2 linked regions of the Oreochromis niloticus genome follow. The protein of the gene in region 1 purifies or fractionates together with the protein of each later gene. This does not show direct contact. Links are inferred from orthologs where the notes say so. Each region holds a gene or a part of one and is shown on either strand. Other genes may lie near its edges.

Region 1 (7,787 bases):
CTCGCCGACACAGAGCCACGAACCCCTGTCGTCTCGACGAGGACTCGTCTCCTGGCTCGCTGCACTCCACCTGCTGCTCAAGGAGAAAGGGATCTGACAAAAACCTCAGCGGTGGATAAAAGCCTCAGCTTTATGCTCAGTCATAACCCCCCCACCCCCACCCCACCCCCAGTAGGACTCCAGTGTAAGAGATGACCGTGACCGATCACTGAAACCCTTCCAGCTCCTGGGATGTTTTTCTGCAGCTGACTTCTGTGCCAAAGACACTTTCCCCAGGATCAATACCATTTTTTTTTTTAACACTACAGTCAGCCTCCTCCTGCCCACCTCTTCCTCAGCTCCGCGGCAGGTGCTATGTAAGGCAGTGTGCTACCGCAGCCAGGGTATCTGGGTTAACAGATCTGGGAGTAGCTCAGGCTGACCGGGTCTGTGTGTGTGGAGGAGACAGACATCTCCTTCCCTCGCGCTCTCGCTTACGTAACAGCAGCCTGTGGGCGTCTGCCTCCCAGTCTTTCACTCGACTCGACTCTAAAAGACTAATAATCGCAGGCTGCAAATATACACACTGAGCGGGACAACAGAGCATCTTTTATAGGGAAACAGAGAAGTTTATAGCCTGTCGATTTCAAAAGCACCACCTATGGGGAGCACCGCTAGAGAGAGGAAACGCAGAGGCTCAGCTTTTGGGGCACAAATTCTCACAACAACAAACTCCCATTTGGGAGCGAATAAACATTTTCCAGCCAGATCGGCATGACTGTGAGGAACACAAAGTGGCACAACTTGCTGAATTTGTGTGCTTTTAAAAACACGTTAGACTTGAAAACCTATGACTTTAGCGTTAACTCGTAATTAAACAGTAACAGCAAGAAAAGTAGCATTTCAAAGTAGATATTAGTGCCAATTATATTGATCTACTCATCACATTAAGCACAATTCAAAACTTGATACTGTCACACAAGACAAAACACAGCTAATCATTTTAGCTTTAAGTAACTCCCAGTATGCAAAACGCGTGACAGAGTATTCCATCTCACTAGTTGGATCTTCTGCTGAATCCTATCATAGATCATTTCTTTCTTCCTCAAGTGAAAAAACACCCGCAGAGTCCTGCTCCAATAAATCACTTCATTCCCCCTCATGTGTTTACGTCCCCCCACCCTGGACGTCAGCACTCAGAGTCATACCAGCGGGTGCTCCATGATGACAAACTATTGATTTTCAGACTGGCAATGCATGCAAAGACGGGGCGGGAGCCTGTTTATGAGAGCCTTTATCAGGCTGAGAGCTCCACCAGGGATGCATAATTATCTAACGTGCAGCAGGTGCTATTAAGCCAGATGCTTTACGTGCACACACGCTATGCTTTTAGACGGCTGGACACACTGTCATTTCGTGTGTGTGTGGGGCCCAGTTGGCTTTGGCACTGACTCCAGTGCTGCCATGTTGTTGGCAAGCGCAGCTGGGAGGCCGACTGCAGAGACAGAAGCCATTACAACGGAGGTTTTCCACAACTGAAATGTAAACACTCTGCACAGGCACTCTTAATGCATGGAGATAACAAGGTCAAGGCTGCTAATTCAAGGAAACAGAACATTAGGCCACCTCTACCTGCAAAATTACATAATTAAAAACTGGTTTAAGCTTCATCAGTGGATGTGAACTGTAGCTGTAAGCTCTCTTTGCACTTGTGATGGAGGAGAGGCAGGACTTTGACTGGAAATGAAGGGAAAAGAAAGGAAAGAGATCACCTGCACTTAACTTGATGATGAAAACTGTTAACAGCAGCAGGTCTAGTAAAGTTAGACACATGATATCCGTGATTTTGTGTTTAAATGGTTGTGAAGTCAGCCGAAAGAGTGCATGTAATTAATGAGTAACAGCATGAAGTAGTCACCTCCGTGCTCCACTTTTTGAGCAGCAATTCTAGCGGTCTGCAGACGCTTTGCATACGCACAGAGGTGAGCGGAGGCTGCAGAGCTGAGGCTTTCAGCACACAGGCTCTGGTTAATATTAATGACAGTGGTAACAGCCTCGGTGTAGTCACTGTGTACTGTTCACACATGGCCTCTGAGTCACTACGATAGCCCCGTGTGGCGTGAACACTGCAGTGTTATTAGCCATCGGACAGACAGCCTGACAGGCGACCGATCCTTCAAAACAAGCCCTAAAAGAGCCGCACTTACCGGCTTAGCTGGGATTCTTTCACGCGATAAAACGATACCGGGTCCCTGTCAGCGCCAGACAAAGCCCTCGTAGCACCTTCCAGAAAGGCTAGCCCTGGCCAGCCTGCTAGCGGCTCATTAGCACGGCTATCTGACGGCACCAAGGCAACACGGGCGGGCTATCGTTAGCTAGGAGACTCGTTTATCACATCCAGCCCACAGCAGGCTGTTTATCAGCTCCCTGCGGTCCTCCCCAGTCTCTGTCGGTGTATCTAATTAAAGCCTGAGGAGCCGTAAACACTGCGGCTACTGTCAAGCCCTGTGTGTGCCGCCCTAGCAGCAGCAGTAGCTTTAGACCGCGGACAGCCACAGACCCCCGGCTCGTCCCTCCAGCTCCGCTCCCGTCCCGCTGCCCTCACACACGCTCAGAGGAGCCAGCAACGGGCCTGCAGTTTGTTTACCTTCTTGTCAATGCGGACGGTGAAGACATCCCGGTCCCTCAGCGGCTCTTTGCTAAGCACCAGGCCGTGATTGAACTCCTGGACTGGCTGGTTGCGACGGGCGGTTCGGTTCGAGTTGGACAGGCCGATCAGCTTTCCGCTCCGCGGATGCAGCTCCGCCGCCATCTTCAGTGGGCGGCCAGTATTCACGACAGCGAGGCTTTGCGACAGTAACATTATGGCAGCCGGCAGATATGTGGAATCGTTAGCAACCGCACCGCAGGCTTTAATGACTGAAAGCGTGGCGTCATTTTAAAGCCTATATAAACGCTTTGGTTCAGAAGCTAACGCTTCTACATTCACCGTAGCCTCATTGTACACTTTTGATTATTTCTCACTTTATTGGCTCGAGGGCTAAAAACTTTCTACTTTAACTACAGTTAGAGTCACGTTCGTTATCAGTTTGCATTTTATCGCTTTATGTATGTGTTTTTATTATTATATGATTGTCTAGTTAAATATTAATAGGTGTTATTATATTTTTTTATTCTATTTACTGCTAGTTTAACGCTGTCTTGGGAAACAAATGTATATAATGTTTTGAATGAAAATAAATCTATTTATCTGTCTGTGTTGCCCGACCTTTCACATCTTCCAGTTCATTTCAAAGCTGCACATAACATTTTGATGACTTCTTGCAGCGATAAGTGAATACAGACATAATTTTAACTGAAACTGATCTTGAACATTTCATTCATATTTGCTATAGTCTTTCTTCTTTTCTTCTTTTATAATTTAAAGTTGATGAGTAATATTTGTACTTTTTCCGTGTATCTAATTTATGGGATAGATGACGTCATACACAAGGCTCTGATGAATTTAACATTATATTTAATTAACCACTAGAGGGAGCAATTTTCATGTCTAAGATCAGTCACTCGGCGACAGCGAGCGGGTTCTTGTGAGGCATGCGTGAAAAGACTGGCTGAACCTAAGTTGAAAGAATTGAAGAAAATTAGAATTAAAATTTGGCTTTAAAAGACATCGACTACACTCAGTGATGGTAGCCTCGACCATCCAAAGAAGAGCCTTGAATGTCCTTCAGGAAGCCTGGACAACTATTCCTGGAGACTATTAAAAGAAATTACAAAAAAAAAACAACAACAAAAAACTGAAGAAGAATAAACTGAAGAATAAAGGTGTTCATAACAAAATAAGATCTGTTTCATGTGTTTGAGGATTACAATCCTCAAACACATCTTACGCCTCTATTTTGCCTTAAAATATACCAGAAAAATGAATATGTATCAGAAACCACTTTAGGGAAAGTCATATTTTATTCAGCAGCTTGCTGTTGCACGTACCAGGGTCACAAAACTGCTCACATTTATCAGATTTATCTGTATGTTGTGTTAAAAGTGGGAAAGTGGAAGAGACATCTCATAAAATATTAATATTTAGCACTAAATTATTTACACTTTGGAGATTCACTGGTACAAGTATAAAATTCTGACTTAAAACACTTTAGTGCTCATCACTGCAAACACCATGTCTACTCAGCATACCATAAAGTGTAAGCATGCTTTCGTGGTTTAAGCGGGGCAGCTGTGAGAGGAAACGGACACGTGTTTGACGCGCGCCGAATCCAGATCCAAATCCTTCCCTTGGACCTGGATCTTCTCCAGACAGCCTGTCAAGAACTTGGAGCCGACATCGTCGTCATTCTCACCTGAAAAGACAAAATAGATGAAGAAATTGATCGTCTTCACGAGTTACACAGAGCAGATCCTTTTTTTGTGTTGCTGCACAGTGATACAGGATTAGACTGAAATACTTTAAAGCTGCAATCTCACCCAAAAGGCCTCCAATGGCAAGATGACCATCTCTCCAAGCTGATAAATAACTGGTGTTGCTCCCTGCACTGACTGAAAAATCAGCCGATGATTCATCCTCATGTTTAACCACCCTCAGCGAATCCTTCTGAAACTTAATTTGGAGCCTCTTGAAAGTGTTCTTCATGGTGAGCACCTCTTCTCTAGAGGTGAATGTGAAGTCCTGCATGCCAAATGGAAACAGAACTGTGACGTACACTGATCTGTGTGTGTTATTTGCATGAAACAAACATCATTTCTAAGTTAATAATCCTGCTTCGAGGGCAAATACATCTGACTTATGTGGATACCTTTGTGTTATTATCAGCTACCACAGAGAACACGAGCTCCTCCCCATCAGCTTTGATGCTCAAAAGGGTCCCGTCCATCTGGCTGAAATCCCCCCACAGTTCAATACGGACCCCGTGATCTTCATCGATCTGGAAATCTGGGAAAAAAAGAAATGTGTGGATGTGTTGAGTTGGTTAAATAAATACAAATTAACGTGCTGAATCTGATTAGAAGGAGTACTACTTAGAAGTAGGAGAAATATTGCTACCCGAGATGCCATATCATGCATAAATGCAATATCCGGGCCAGCTGGAAAGCTTGTTATTGAATAAAGGAGTGTAAACACTTGCTCGTATCTGGGATAATTTAGCAGAGTGTTCCCACCTGAGGTGTTGAAAATGGCAAATCCTGTGCCAGGGAAGTAGCTGCCAGGTTGGATGTTTTCATAGCAAGGCTGGAGCTCGTCTGCCTCTGCCACCCATGGGACGGTGAGGTTCAGCCAGTTGCCTTTCCGCACACAGCCATCCATTTTGGGATTGAACTAAAGGAAGAGGGCACGAGGTGGATGATTCAGACATGTTCAAGAAGCTATTTTCCAGAGGTCTTGTCCAAGGAGAGGAAAACAGCATCTGGTCTATTTGCAGCTGAAGTGTGGTTTAAAACAAAAGGTGCAAAATACACAAAGTACCTGAACAATCATCTTTTCTTTGCCGATCAGCATCCCGCCAAGGGACAGTCGTAATTTACCGTGAATGACCTCCTCTATCTGCTTGGAATGCATGCCCACCACCAGCCCGCCAGTGCCATCCACCTCCAGAATTACGAACTTGCCCTGGTTGCTCACTTCCATCTTGGTGGCATCAAGAGAACAACAAACGGTACAGTTAGCCAGTTTTAAGATGAGCTGTTATGCTCATTTCGAACATGGTTTTGTTCTCGCGCTCTCAAGGAGCCCTTCATAATTTCTTATACGGAGCCTTTGTGCAGCTCCAGAGTTCTCTCCCTGCCTGAAACCAGCAGTTTTAGCCACTCCCCCTTCAAGGCTACTCCAGCTTTCTTCTGATTGGCTGTCTCTTGCAAACAAACCACGAGCAGCAGATGGGCGGGATTTGTGTGCTCACAGCTGTGTTCCTTATATGACCATAACCATAATAATTTGCATATAAACTGACCTCAATATTTAATATGAACATCCATTACTGTGAGAATATATATATATATATATGAAAATATAGAAAATAAGGAAAAGGATAAGGGGGCGAGTTTTTAAAAAGCATCATAAAGCAGTTCTTTAGCCAATTAGAGTTCAGCAAACTGATTTCCAAGTGATCACTGGATGCTTACTGTGTGCCATTTCCCGTCATTGAGCCTCGGGGTGCCCGCTACGCTGACGAGCACGCCTTCTTTGTTGATCTGCATCAGGGGGACGCCGTCTTTCAGCGACAAAACAAACCAGTCATCCCCGTTTTGTGTGTCTCCGTAGAAAACCAGACCTTCTGGGTCAAATGTCCGGAACTGAAAGGAGGATTTGATGCTGCGTGGCAGAATAAAGATACAGTAAATTGGAGTGAAGGCTGCTCATTGGTGCATTAATAAGACAACCTGCCTTATTTATCTTTGACTGATCTTAGAGAGCTCATGTACGCCTGTTCAGTAAAAACTGAACTTCAAGGTCACGTTTTAATTTGAAATCCCAGAAGAATTGTGTGCACCTTTATGCCCACAGAGGAGCTGCTGTGCAGGCTTAACGGTGCACTGATTTGCTCCATCGCTCACGTACCTGCCGATCTGACTAAGGTTGACCGTTGTGTGGATCAGCGGCCTCCAGTCGTGCGTGTTCTGGCCCAGATAGACGGTAGAACTGCCCGGCACCTCTTTCTGGAAGACACAAGCTTCATCTCGCACTGATCTGACACTTAGGTCGTTACTCACAGCTTTTTATTACACGCAGCTCTCATTTATCGAACTCGGCCTCAGTATTTTACACTCAGAGATCTTCATTGGCTGCTCGTTAAAACCACATTAAACCGAGAGATGAAATTTATTCAGTTATTGATTCGACTTTAAAAAAAAGCTGAACAGAGCAGTGTGCGCAAATTATTAAGTGGTGATGAAGTGCCACATCACTGCATTTCATTGACAAGAGCAACCACACAACATTCACTTGTGGATATGAACCATGTGTATGTAGAACATTTAAGAGGAAAAACAAGTCTTGCTTTTCTTTTTGTGTTAGTAATTTCCAGAAACTGGGACAAAAGTAAAGTATTTCCTCTCTTATCTTAATTATGCCGATGTGTCTGCAAACTGAGCAAACTGAGCAAAGTCTAAGCAAATGATGGGATCCCCCCTCCCCTTTTGATTGGCACATGAGCTGGATACAGTATGAGTTAGCTCAGGACTTTTAGACTTTTATTCTTTAAAACATAACCTATGAGCCAACAAAGTAGATTTTTCTCAAAGAAAAAGATGTATCTAAATGATACATGCAGATATTTCCAATGATCAGGAGCTGTAGCATGTAAGTGTGCAGAAACAATATATGTCACTAGAGTCATCCATGCTTCTGCAGAGAATCAGGGACTTCATTAAAGGCTGAAAAGGTGCATATAGATGATACTTCCTACACACACACACACAGAGTGCACATTTTAATTCTAGGCATTGTGTATCGCAGTAACATACCTTATCACGTCCGTTTCCCTGGCCCTCAGCTCCCCACCCCAGCAAAATAAGGTTCAGAGTGAGCAGCAGTGCACCTGCCATTGCTTTCCAAGTCATCCCGCAGCACATTCACTGACCCAGGCCTCGCAGCGTTCAGTCCCCACAGCTCACGGTTGGTCCGGCTACACTGCGATGCAGATGGAGGTCGAGTTAAGATGAGGAGCAGAGGGATTATGGAAAAGTGTGCAGTGTGCAGTGCGCTGGCGTGTGCTGTCACAACTCCCGGGATCCAGAGGGCATCTCTGGTCAGGGCAAGCTATCGATCCCTGAGGCCGGAAGGCCGCGTTGGTTGAGAC
Region 2 (7,915 bases), on another chromosome or scaffold:
AAAAAAAAAAAAGTAGTTTCACTGCTTGAGGCAAAAATACACTGTGTAATACAAGTCAAACAAAAAAAGAGATATCTGCAGCTGGTGATGTGAAACCAAATGTAAACATGACTCCGCTGAGCATCGCTGGGGCACTCCACATGACAGGAAGAGCGTACAGCGGATTGAAATTACTGATGCAGTTAATATGGTGGTAAAGGACGGTTTTAACCCTCTACACCCCATAACAGTTGCTCTAAACTTCCCCTTAAATGCATGTTTCTACTACTATTTGTGTACACACTATATTTTAAAATATTTGAATAACACTGACACCTAACAACAAATTAGGGGAAAAAAAAGACACATTTCAATTAAACATTAGGCGATATTTCACGTTTTCATCCCAGTCACTTTGTCTGGCATTCATGTGTAGTAAGTGAAGACTCTCGGATCACCGTTTACCTCAGCTGTCAATATGCTGGGTGAGAATCCCCCATGTGCATTTACTCTGAAGGAGGGTGTAAAAGCTTGTGATGAGTCAATGAGTCAGAGAAGCTCACTCCTTACTGATGGCGAGTTGTTGTTACTTCTCTGTCAATAAACGCTGCTTTTTCGTTTTTCCCTGATGTGAGCTTGTGTGAGAAGCTTTCTTTTAAGTGGCTCTAACGCTGTCAGCCTGTATGAATAAAATCTCAGACGATGTGAGAGTGTAATCAAACTGTTTATCGGAGGGAATATTGGATTTTTATTTAGCTGGCACAATGTTAGCGTATAACCAGGTGGTGTTGTTATAGTTGGTATGTTGCCAGCTGTCTGGAGACAGGAGTGTCTAATCTGCTGACAACCAGGTAAAATCTGGACTAAATAAGTATGTTTATTGACATTTTCTTATGTTAAAGCATGTAATTCAGCTCACGAGATGAGACTACAGGTGAGCAGGAAGAGGATGAGGTGGGCATAAGGGAGAAGAGAGAAGTGGTGAATGAGGCAGATGAAGAAAAGAGAGAAAAAATGATGACGAAAATATAAATGTACAAATCTTATATAGTTTGAAAGATCTATCTGTGCCATCTTCACATTAAAACTAACTTATAAAATTCACACTTTACCCTATTTATTTAGGGTTTTTTTTCTATATTTATGTGTTTGTAATACTTATCAGATTTCCCCTTTTGGGACATCCTAACAGAACTGTAACGCTTATAGATGAACACTAGAACCCTCAGTAGTTAAATTTGATCACCAAATCTGTGTGCTCACTCCTCTGCCTCAGTCTGCAGCTCTTCACCTCTCCTGCTCAAGAGTAAAACAGATTTGGTTGCTGTGCTCTGGATTTCACTCTTTATTTGCTCGGATTAGCTCTGCATCCTCTAGGCTCTCTATTCAGTTCAGCTACGGCTCCTCTGCTGCTCTGCACAGCCATCAACCTTCCTGGTTCCTCACACATTCAGTCATACAGCGCTCTGTACCACTCCTCTTCGGCTTGAAATCCCATCCTCAGCCTTGCAATAATTATTTACCTTGGCTCTAACTACAGTCCCCCTACATACTGTTTTTAATCAATCATATCTGGCAAGGTCTGGCTCATGTGTAAACACGGTATTGCTAGGCAACCCTGTGTGCTGCAGCAGTGGTTTCACATCAGTTTCTATGGGGTCAAAATGATGTCCTCCGTGGTTCTAGGTAAAAGCACTCATAATATTTTTCCCTTTTGATCCCACACTCCAAAATTCAGTATTTGATGAAATACGAGATGATGATGGGGTTTTAATTTAACAAAGTTACACAACTTTTAAAATGCCAAGAGGGTCAAAATGACCTCCTTCCTGTGTTAAACAGGTGGTTAAAAAGCTCAACTAAGCTATGACATCCCAGGTAGAAAATATTATTTAATTTTATTAGGTCCAGGTTAAGTTCCTTTAGTTGGAATAGTTGCTGTGAAACTGCTATTATTTTAACCTTTTTTTAAGCGCTTACTGAAAATTTCCAGGGATTACATTATTTAAGCCATTTCTGGGCTTACATTTGGCCTTTGCTCTCTAACTGTTTATCATGCAGTGTCAGTACTATTACACTATAACCCTGCTGGCATCTTGTGACAATAGATCCACACTTCAAATTAGGCAGTCTTCATTTTGTTTGCATTTATGAATGCTGCTGGCTGGGAGCTGCAATCACAGAACGTTCATATTTTTCTATATACTTAGAAATATAACTATTGCATATTTAATAAACGACCGTGATAAAATTTCAGAGGCTAACTCGCCCAACCTGACAAACACAGCACAGCGTCCTGCTTCACTCACCCCACACACTTCGCAGCAGTCTCCAAGCATCTTGTACCCTTTCAGCAGGTAGTCTCCCATCAGCTTGCTGATTTTGTCTTGCCGCTCCCTACGAGCCTGGATCACCTTCATTTCTGCTTCTGTTGGAGGCTCCCACTTAAAATCCTCTTCATCTGCAGGTCAGTAACAGCCAGAACGTTTAATTTTATTTTCAGATTTCAGACCAGAACTCTCCTTCTTTCGTATTCTTAATACTTTAGGATTATAAACAGTCTTAAGCGCTGCTGTAACTTGTGGATACTATTATATGTCTGCTTCTACTTTACCGTTTCAGCGGGATTATTACAAAACCTTTTTGGCACTGTTTTGAAGTGTGACTATCACAGGTGAACTGCTCTGCTAGGAAATGACAAGCTAGCTAGCAAACCAGCCGGGCTACCGTTTGGCTAACAACATGTTTACGCTGGCAGCGACGAATTTAAAAGCAAAAATAAAGTAACCCAGAGGAACAGCCTCAATAAAAATAATTTCTTTTTTAAATCACAATGCAGGCAAGCAACAGAAATGTCAAAGTCAGCTTGTTTTTATAACACAAGTTCACAAACCTCCATTCAAAGCCATGTTTCTTCTGTGCTACACGTTGTACGTGATGACGGAGTCACGCAATGCAACGCTTCTTCTTCCTCTTCTGCGTTCGGCAAATATTTGAGCACAGCTGCCTGCCCCTAGTGGTAAATATTGGTAAATACCACAAGAGTTATTTATGTTATGTTCAAAAATGGTAGCAAAAGCGCCACCGTGTGCTGATTAGTTAATTAAACCAAACAATTAAATCGTTTCAGCTAAACTTCTCATATTATTCTTATTCTTTTTCTTATTATTGTAATAAATTATTAAGAGAGTGAGAGCAGTCTTGTGCTAAAAAGTATAGCACAATTTTGAAGACTGAAAGGATGCCTGAGAAATGGAAGTGCACTAGAGAGGGATAAAGCTGATGGGCCACACCATTGATTGATTGATTGATTGAATCTTTATTTTGAACATGTTGAAAAAGTACAACAACATAGAATTAAAAACAGACAAATAAACAAAGCAAAACAAAAGGAAAACGAGCAACCACAACTACAAATAACTTTCATGTTCAAAAAGGAGCAGGAAGAAGCATAAGCTTATTTAATCCCACCCCTTTTCCACTATCTAGTAATCAATAGACTACAGAAATACCTAATTACATTATATGTTACGTGTATTTTTATTTATTTATTTATTTATTAATTTGTTAGCATATATATATACTGTTGTACCAAGCGTGAAATAAATAAATGAAATGAAATGAAATGAAATGAAATATTGACTGTCAGAGAGTAATTTATGTTTATCTAAGAATTTGTCTAATCGTTTATTAAACAGGTTTTCTAGGATTTTGGAGAATTGTGGTAGTAAAGAAACAGGCCTGTAATTTGTGAAGTGGTGTCTATCCCCAGTTTTATACAGCGGCACAACTTTAGCTATTTTCATTTTGTTTGGAACTTTTCCAGTCTGAAATGATAAGTTGCAAATATATGTTAGAGGTCCTACAATTCCTTCTATGACCTTCTTGACGATTTTCATGTCAATATCATTACAATCAGTAGATGTTTTATATTTACACATGTGTACAGTGTCAGTTATTTCTTTTTCCTCCACTGCTGTGAGGAACATTAAGTTAGGGTTCCTATCAATCAGGCATTCACTACAGTCTACTGATGGCAGTGACTCAGGAATTTGTTCTGCCAGATTTGGTCCAATATTTACAAAATAATGATTAAAGCTGTTGACCACATCAGCAGTGTTTTCCATAATATTGCCATTTTCAGTAAAATGTTGAGGTTAACTTTGTTGTCCAGAATTATTTTTCAAAGTCAAAGTCAAAGTCAGTTTTATTTGTCAATTTCTTCAGATGTACTTGCCATACAAAGGAATTGAAATTACGTTTCACACTGTCCCATGCGTAGACATAGACAACAATAAAGTGCAGATGCACAACATTTAGGTACATACAGGATGTAACAAGACAGGACCTACACATAACATATAATAAAGTGTTCCACAGTGCGCCCTGGAAAGTAGTGTACTTGTCTACTTGACGTAGTCCCAGGTTGTGGTTGGTAAGTGTTTTTGTTTTAATGCAGCATAAGACTGTAGCAGCAGTAATAGTAATATAAATAATATAAATAGTGCTAAAGAAAATACTAAAAATATATAGCAGCAGGTGTGTGCAATTGTAATGCAGAGGTAGTCGTTTCCAGTCAGGAATGTGGAGAGTGTTTCCTTGTTGTGGAGTGTGTGTGTGTGTGTGGGGGGGGGTCCAGTCTGTCTTCCTATACTCCTGCCAGTCTGGTGGTTCTGCTGGCTGGGAGCCGGGAGGGGAGAGAGTTCAGCAGTCTCACAGCCTGGTGGATGAAGCTGTTGGTGAGCCTGGTAGTGCGGGAGCGGAGACTTCTGTATCTTTTTCCGGAGGGCAGGAGGCTGAACAGGCAGTGCGCGGGGTGGGTTGCATCGTTGACAATTGTGATGGCTTTGCGGGTAAGGCGGGTGGTGTAGATGTCTTGCAGGGAGGGGAGTGGTACACCAACTATCCTCTCAGCTGTTCTCACAATGCGCTGTAGAGCTTTTCTGTTATAGTCAGTGCAGCTACCGCCCCACACAGTGATGCAGCTGAAAAGGATGCTTTCAGTGGTTCCTCTGTAGAATGTGGTCAGGATGGGTGGTGGAGCACTTGCCCGCTTGAGTTTGCGCAGGAAGTAGAGGCGCTGTTGTGCTTTCTTGGCCAGTGATGCTGTGTTGGTGGTCCAGGAGAGGTCCTCACTGATGTGCACCCCCAGGAACTTGGTGCTGCTCACCCTCTCCACCGCAGCGCCGTCGATGGTCAATGGGGGGTGACAGGTGTGGTCTCTCTGGAAGTTGACAATAACCTCCTTGGTCTTGCTAACATTTAGCAGGAGGTTGTTGTCTCTGCACCACGTGGTCAGGAGCTCAACCTCTTTCCTGTAGTGGGTCTCATCGCCCTTGGTGATGAGCCCCACCAGCGTTGTGTCGTCCGCAAACTTCACAAGGTGGTTGGAGCTGTAGGTTGTTGTGCAGTCATGTGTCAGCAGGGTGAAGAGCAGAGGACTGAGCACACAGCCTTGTGGAGCCCCCGTGCTCAGGGTGATGCTGTTTGAGACCTTGTTGCCCACACGCACCGCTTGAGGCCTCTGGCTGAGGAAATCCAGCAGCCAGTTGCAGAGGGAGGTGCTGAGGCCCAGTCTGTCCAGTTTACAGATGAGTTGTTGTGGTATTATGGTGTTGAATGCTGAGCTGAAGTCTATGAATAGCATTCTCACATATGAGTCTTTCTTGTCCAGGTGAGTTAGGGCTGGGTGGAGGGCAGAGCAGATTGCATCTTCTGTGGATCGTTTCGCTCTGTATGCAAACTGGTATGGGTCCAGGGTGGGAGGCAGGGTGGATTTGATGTGTGACATGACTAGTCGTTCAAAGCACTTCATGATAATGGGTGTCAGTGCCACGGGGCGGTAGTCGTTGAAACAGGCTGGGGATGGTTTCTTTGGCACAGGTATGATGGTGGCAGTCTTGAAGCATGATGGGACAGTGGCTTGCCTCAGGGAGATGTTAAAGATGTCTGTGAAGACATCCTTCAGCTCCTCTGCGCAGTCTTTCAGCACACTACCAGGGATGTTATCTGGACCCGCTGCTTTCCGGGCGTTGATGGTGATGAGTGTCCTCTTCACGCTGGCAGCAGACAGGCACAGAGGCTGGTCGTGTGGAGGTGGTGGTGTTTTCTGTGGGCGTGTGTTGTTCTGTGCTTCAAATCGTGCAAAGAAGCTGTTCAGGTTGTTGAGCAGAGTGGTGTCGCTCTCACAGCTACGCGCTGCAGGCTTGTAGTCTGTAATAGCCTGGATGCCTTGCCATAGGCTTCGTGCGTCCTTGCTATCATTGAAGTGGGAGGTTATCTTGTGTGTGTAGTCCTGTTTCGCTTTCCTGATGCCACGGGACAGGTTGGCTCTCGCTGTTCTCAGGCCTATTTCATCCCCAGCTCTGAAGGCCTTGTCTCTGGCCTTCAGCAGCCTGTGGACATCTCCTGTTAGCCATGGCTTCCGGTTGGCTCGAGTTGTGATACTTTTTTTTTAATGATACAGTTTAAAACATCCCATATTCCCTTCATATTATGTTTATTGTTGATCAATGTTTTACTATAATACTCCTTTCTACATACACATATAATATTGGTCAACTTATTTTTGTATTTTTTATATTTATTTTCAGCATCTTTTGTTCTTTGTTTTAGGAATTCCCTATAGAGTGTATTTTTCTTTTGTAAACCCTTAGTGATCCATGGTCTATCTGAATTTTTGTGCTTTCTGTTGCATTTTATTGTTGGACAGTTTTTATCGTAAAATTCCATGAATTTTTTTTTTTTTTTTTTGCCTGTCCCGTTTGGCTCTTTTGCCATCAGAATTATTGTCTAAAGGTGAAGAAGATGCCCAACGGATTTACTTTACCAAATGGACCATCCCAGCCTTGCCGTAATGGTCTATTTGATTCACCTTTTATTGTTTATTTTATTTTATTTTCACTTGCTAAATACGGGACAGACTTGACTGGGGAAAAGAAAGGGGCGAAAGAAAGGGAAAGAAAAACAGCGGGAAAGAGGAAAAGGGCAAAAAACAAAAACCAACAAAATAAGCAGACAAGAAATACATATATCAATCACCTGGATCACCTGTTGAGAAAGAAAAAAGAGAAAACAAGCAGAAAAAAAGAGAGCAATATAATAAACAACATCATCACGATGATCTATGGGAATATAACAGTAAATACTAAATATTAAACATTATTGTGCAGCACGTAAGATCGACAGCGCACAGTGTGCTTTGAGGTAGGAGCCAAAAAGGGTGTAGTTTGTGTGTACACCTGTGAGCATGAGTGCGCTTGTATTTAAAAGGTTCCTTCATGTAATGATCTGCTAGAGGGTGTGGGGGGCGACAGCCCCGTCCTCCAGGGCATGAAGCAGGTATGGAGGAGATCAAAACTCCAGACATCCAGAGGCCCTCAGAACACAAGAGACCAAGGAAGACCAACAGAGGGGCAGCCGCGCCACTATCCCGGAAAGAGCGAGAGAGAAGCCGGGGGGGGGGTTGCAGTGACGTGCCTGTGAGCTCCGCCGGCAGCCAGCTGTGCCAGAGTGACCGAGCCCTAGGCCGAGAGGCCGAGGGCACCCCACCCCCGAAGTGGCCCCCCACCCCCGAAGTGGCCCGAGCGAGCCCCGGGCTCCAGGCCCCGACAAGCAGCCACCAGGAGTGAGCCGGTGTGTACCCGGACGCCCATCCCCGGACACAAAGAACAGATACAAACATCCATTCCCACCCTCATGCTCTCATATGCAATTACTCAACACTCACCCAATGTGGAGACAGACATAAACAGACAGTGTACACACAATCACACTCCCCAAGCGTACTCTAAACCCCAGGTCTAGGTACCCTTGCCCCTGGAGGGGGAAACTGCACCCAGACCCAGGTAGTGTTACCCTTTTCTCTGGGGTGGAGAGAAGCAGACTGCCCTGACTCAGCAGCAGCAGGGAGGCCCCACATTCCGGACCCCAATCG

What was found.
Region 2: the proteins of neurl4 (region 1) and znrd2 purify together in Homo sapiens (co-immunoprecipitation; 4 studies listed by BioGRID and IntAct, with this or other methods). This does not show direct contact. The link is inferred for Oreochromis niloticus from reciprocal best matches to the Homo sapiens genes NEURL4 and ZNRD2.

The regions. Positions count from the first base shown.
Region 1 is NC_031967.2:17,604,370-17,612,156, forward strand, and holds the start of neurl4 (neuralized-like protein 4), read right to left. Parts: upstream 3,015-7,787; 5' UTR 2,843-3,014; coding exon 2,627-2,842; intron 1-2,626. Other genes in the region: shbg (sex hormone-binding globulin), read right to left, coding at 4,198-4,334, 4,459-4,660, 4,788-4,924, 5,152-5,308, 5,456-5,617, 6,112-6,301, 6,548-6,645, 7,453-7,560. UniProt on the Homo sapiens protein: Promotes CCP110 ubiquitination and proteasome-dependent degradation. By counteracting accumulation of CP110, maintains normal centriolar homeostasis and preventing formation of ectopic microtubular organizing centers.
Region 2 is NC_031975.2:19,046,002-19,053,916, reverse strand, and holds the start of znrd2 (protein ZNRD2), read right to left. Parts: upstream 3,009-7,915; 5' UTR 2,889-3,008; coding exon 2,873-2,888; intron 2,441-2,872; coding exon 2,289-2,440; intron 1-2,288. UniProt on the Homo sapiens protein: Might play a role in mitosis. Antigenic molecule. Could be a centromere-associated protein. May induce anti-centromere antibodies.